2 linked regions of the Daphnia pulex genome follow. The protein of the gene in region 1 binds, or shares a complex with, the protein of each later gene. Links are inferred from orthologs where the notes say so. Each region holds a gene or a part of one and is shown in the gene's direction. Other genes may lie near its edges.

Region 1 (2,271 bases):
ACAGCTCTGAAGGTCACATCCTATAACAGTGTAATCAGGAATCAAACCTGATGAATTTAATTTGGTAAAAAGGAACTGACTGTGAAAGTGAAGATCTGAATGATTGTGACAAACATCAGATTTGTTACAAGAGTGAATTCTCACTGCACATTTAGATGTAAAGAATACAACAATGGATTTCTTGCACTTTAAACACATTTCTTCACTGTGGGTTGGGTTTTTAATGGAATGCTGAGCCAAGTCTTCCAATGCAGTAAATAACTGTGGGCAGTCATAGCATCTATAGGGAAAATCTTTGACTGTATTGACTTGATTACTCAACCTATGATGAACAGCATCTGCTTCAACAATACTAGGTTGGTTATCCATTGCTCTATACAATTTTTTTTTACTTTGTTAGAATATAATTTACATCAACAGAAAATTTAGGATTATGCCTTGCCTGTATTCTTCACCTGTAGTTGTAATAGGTCTATGATTCTTGCTGATAAGCGATAAGATAACATATATATCTTTTATGGCTTACTATGGTGAATCAACCTTACGAAATAAACATGCCCACGAGGTAGATTAAGCAAAGAAAACCTTCAAATACTAAAGAGAGTAAATAGGGCACCTTTACCTTGCGATATTGCGGTGCGGTCGGCTTTTTTCTTTGAATAATCAAGGTAGCAATTGAAAGCAACGACATGATTTCAACATTGCAAACCTCATCCAAAGAGAATGTTTACCAATATTTAGCAGACAGCAATTACAGCGTTGCTTCCTCTTCGTGCCTTTAAAAACCACAAGATAATTTTGATCAAACGAAAATTACATAATACTTGCTGGATTATTTTCAAAATTTCTTTAAATAGATAGAATTGATAAAACTGAATTGAAATCGAAATAATTTTACCGCGGTTTCCAAATGACATCGTTGCCTACAACTGCAGCGTGAAGAAAAGTTCTCTAAAAAAACGTGCATTTTTTTCAAAACAATCTGCTCGTGTTTGGAATCTTCAAGCATTTCTGGCTACTGATCGTAATTGAAATGGAAATGTAAGCTAATTGTATAAATTTGTCCATGAACTTCCACTCAACCCCATTTTTTGTTTGTGTTACAGAATCGATGCAAACACGGCTATACTTAGCAATTTTGAGGTAGGTAAAACCTGTTTACTGGAGAATGTGTGGCTTTGAATAATTTATTTGTAATCTAACATTCTTCAAGGTTCTGGGACTTTTGAACAGTTCAAGAGTCAAAGGAGACCAAACCAGGAATCAAAGTGGGTCCTTAGCCACCATCACGTATGAAGTAAGGATTTTTTCAAATGATTTCAATGTGTATCTGCTTCGATTCACCAGTTTCTTTTTGCCTATAGGCCATAAAATATCTTGAAGGCACGCCAGCTGCAGTACAGTCTGAGGGTTGCTTCAAGAAATTTCTCGAGGATGTGAAAAAGTTTGGACTGACTAAAAAAGAGAAAACCATGATCTTGAATCTGAGGCCTAAAACTGACGTTGAAATATCACTGGTATAAAAGCTATGCATGCCACTAGAATTGTCCATGTCTTAATCAGTGATTCAAACCTTTTTAGATTGTCCAATCTACAGATCAGGAACGGTTGACTGAAGAACAAATTGAGGAGCTCATAGAACTCATTCAAAATACTTTGCCAGAATAAATTTGTTTTAACCCCGATTCTCATTTTCACGTTCGTTAAAAACTCAACTCTGAATGTAAACAAATTACTAAATCCGAGAAAGCATGAGATGACAGCGAAATGTTTCAATTGCCTAACCATTACACCATGTGCCCAACGAAACCACCGTTATCCATCAAGGTTTCTCGACAGCCGTTATTTTATCTTTATTTGTTTTTAGTCGATCAACATTCCTTCCAACATCCTAACCATTAACAGCAGGATAACGACGGAAACATTCGAAACACTTGACAGAAGATTCATTCCGGGGTGAACCAAACTTGATTCTAGGTTAGACATCACTTGAATAAATAAGATTGTCATTTTGGTTGCACATTTCTGTTCATTTATTGTAATGACGGGATCAAAATAAGATGGACAGAATCAATATGGAGAACATATTTTGTGTGTATATCGCCCGAGTGCTAACTCCTTGGAGGAAGAGTAAATGGTAAAGGGGGTCGGAGAGAAAAAAACAAAAAGACGTGGGAGATATTTCAGGACTTTTTTTTTTCTTAAATACACAACAGACACATGACAAATGGTGGGGTTTGGGGGGTTCGAAGAAAGAAAATTCGAACTCGG
Region 2 (2,664 bases), on another chromosome or scaffold:
GGGTAATAAGCTTTTTTTTTTAAATATTACTTATGTGTTCTAAAAGATTTCGTAACATTTGTGATAATTTGGTTAAGGTTCTTTATGACTGGATATCTGCCTGTTGGATTCGAGTTTGCAGCTGAATTGACGTACCCTGAGCCAGAAGTGACGTCGTCTGGTTTACTGAATGCCTCCGCCCAAGTATTTGGTATCGTCTTCACAATCATCGGGGGTTGGCTCTTGAGCAACTACGGCGATTTGGTCTGTAACGGAAGTTTGTCGGCAGCACTATTTTTCGGCGCTGCTCTATCGCTGTTCATCCGTTCGGATCTCAGACGCCAAAGAGCCAACCAGATGGAAGCGTTTCGAGCAAACGAAGCTATCTAAGTGTCATCAATCGACTCTCTGAGCTTCACCAGTAAGAGCTTTGCCTGTCTCCAAGAGATGCCACATTTGCCTCACGCAATTTCGAACAAGTTGATTTGCTTATTGTTATAGATATGTAGTTAGGTAAACTTTGTGTCACTGTATTATCTGCCATTTCAAAATGTTGCTTCCTTCAATGTGATTGGCTGCTGCACAAAGTTTGCGGCTATACCGTGAATCCGTTACGACGATTTCAATGGGGGAAAAAAAAGTAAAGTGATTGATAGTTATAGACTGTATGTATACTTATATATATAGCTTATAGCCTCTCTCTTTCGGTTCCGGTCTAAAAGAGTTTACATTTCTGTGTTATTACTAATGTAGTAAAATTGCTGTCTTCCGTACAATGCAGGGAATGGAAAGCAAAGTTCAAACCCAAGTTAGCTTCATTACAGAGTATTATGCATTCGATTCTTTATGAGCCTTTGACGTTAAAGTTGTTTTCACTTTTCACCACGACCCATTTTAAACTGACCAAATCATTTGGTTTGGATGATGTGACAGTTAACAATTATTGCGCCAAATAAAATCTAATGCCACCACGTTCACGTTTTTTTTTTCACCAATAAAAAAGAAGGGTGTGAAACCCCTCCCCCGAAAAAAAAGGTGGGATCCCCATCAACTACTATCACTTTGCTATTGTGGGCTTGCCACAACATCAAATTTTATTATTTAAAAAAAAATACTTAGCTTATTTCCCAAAAGGGGTTTGGGGAGTGAATTTTATCACTGATATGAACAAAGAACAAAGTTCATGAAATAAATTACCTCTTACTATGAGTACGAGGTTATAAATTATAAATTATAAATCTTGACAACAATAAATAATTTGTTTATTTATCGGCAATTCGCAATTCGATTTGGCGCTTCGAACTTGGTCTACGTTACCACGACTTGGCAACGCTTTTTTCTAAACAGCTGACGAAAAAGCATGGGCGGAAGTATGTTGGAAAAAGGGGACGACATTAATCGAAGCAACATTTTTCAACGGGTAATTTGCGATTGTTAGAGGTAAAATTCCATCACTATGATTATTATCTAACATTCTCAAGTTACATGATGCTTGATTTCCCTTGCAGATATAAATGGTGGCATTTTAAACTCTGTATTATGGTACGAAGTTTTTGAATGAGAAGACATTGATCTTACGAAGTTATCAAAATGTTGATGTTCTGTCCCACGTGTGGAAATCTTTTGGGTGTTGAAGAAGGACCCAAGTGTTTCCGATTCTCTTGCCGTACTTGCCCTTACGTATTCAACATTAATCGAAAAGTTAGCAGCAAATCATTCCCCAAACTTAAGGAAGTGGATGATGTATTAGGAGGAGTTGCTGCCTGGGAGAATGTGGATTCCACTGAAGCAACTTGTCCCAAGTGTGACCATTCAAGAGCTTACTTTTTGCAGATGCAGACACGATCTGCAGATGAGCCTATGACCACCTTTTACAAGTGCTGCAACCACGAGTGCTCCAACCTGTGGCGTGATTAGACACAACCTGCCTTCAAACCCCCACTTTCTTTTTTTCATGTTAAACTCAACTCATTATCGCCTTTAAAATTGTCAAATGATCAACCCAGTCATCCTCCTTGGGCCCAAGAACTCCGCAGCCATCCTAAAAAATGCAGTGGAGCTTCTGAAATCGGGCAGTGTGATTGCTCTTCCAACAGACACTTTATATGGGATCGCTTGTCTGTCCCAAAGTTCAGAAGCTTTGAAAAAACTTTATCAAATCAAATCGCGAGACAAGAATAAACCGGTTGCTATTTGCGTGTCGCAAGTTAGCGAAATCGCCAAGTGGGGACACGTTACAGTAGATGAACGTCTACTGCACGACCTTTTACCTGGACCCGTCACCCTTGTGTTCGAAAGAAGTCCTGCCTTGAATCCTGAACTCAACCCCGGAACTAAACTTGTTGGCATTCGAATTCCGGACTCTTGGTTCATTCGTCAACTGGCAAATAGCTGTGCTGAACCTTTAGCGTTGACTAGCGCCAACATCAGCGGATCTCAGAGTACTCTATCGGTGGAAGAATTTCTAGGGATTTGGGAGCATCTCGGGGCTGTCTTCAACGGTGGCCCTATTCCAGACGGCTCTACCGCTCGACTAGGATCTACTGTTGTCGACTTGTCGTCACCTGGCACCTATCGCATCATTCGTCCTGGCTGTGCTCAAACAATTACAGTGGAAAAGCTGAAGAAATACGGATTGGTTGAAGCTAGTGAACCAGCGTCTGAAAACGTTTAGCCCCCTCTTCT

Evidence for each region.
Region 2: DNA-directed RNA polymerase III subunit RPC9-like (region 1) and DNA-directed RNA polymerase III subunit RPC10-like share a complex: the UniProt entries of both Homo sapiens proteins name them as parts of the RNA polymerase III complex. The link is inferred for Daphnia pulex from reciprocal best matches to the Homo sapiens genes CRCP and POLR3K.

The regions. Positions count from the first base shown.
Region 1 is NC_060023.1:11,614,085-11,616,355, forward strand, and holds DNA-directed RNA polymerase III subunit RPC9-like, read left to right. Parts: upstream 1-1,033; coding exon 1,034-1,041; intron 1,042-1,106; coding exon 1,107-1,143; intron 1,144-1,213; coding exon 1,214-1,297; intron 1,298-1,364; coding exon 1,365-1,517; intron 1,518-1,581; coding exon 1,582-1,668; downstream 1,669-2,271. UniProt on the Homo sapiens protein: DNA-dependent RNA polymerase catalyzes the transcription of DNA into RNA using the four ribonucleoside triphosphates as substrates.
Region 2 is NC_060019.1:12,453,089-12,455,752, forward strand, and holds DNA-directed RNA polymerase III subunit RPC10-like, read left to right. Parts: upstream 1-1,569; coding exon 1,570-1,896; downstream 1,897-2,664. Other genes in the region: feline leukemia virus subgroup C receptor-related protein 2-like, read left to right, coding at 1-2, 78-369; yrdC domain-containing protein, mitochondrial-like, read left to right, coding at 1,973-2,653. UniProt on the Homo sapiens protein: Core component of RNA polymerase III (Pol III) which synthesizes small non-coding RNAs using the four ribonucleoside triphosphates as substrates. Can mediate Pol I proofreading of the nascent RNA transcript.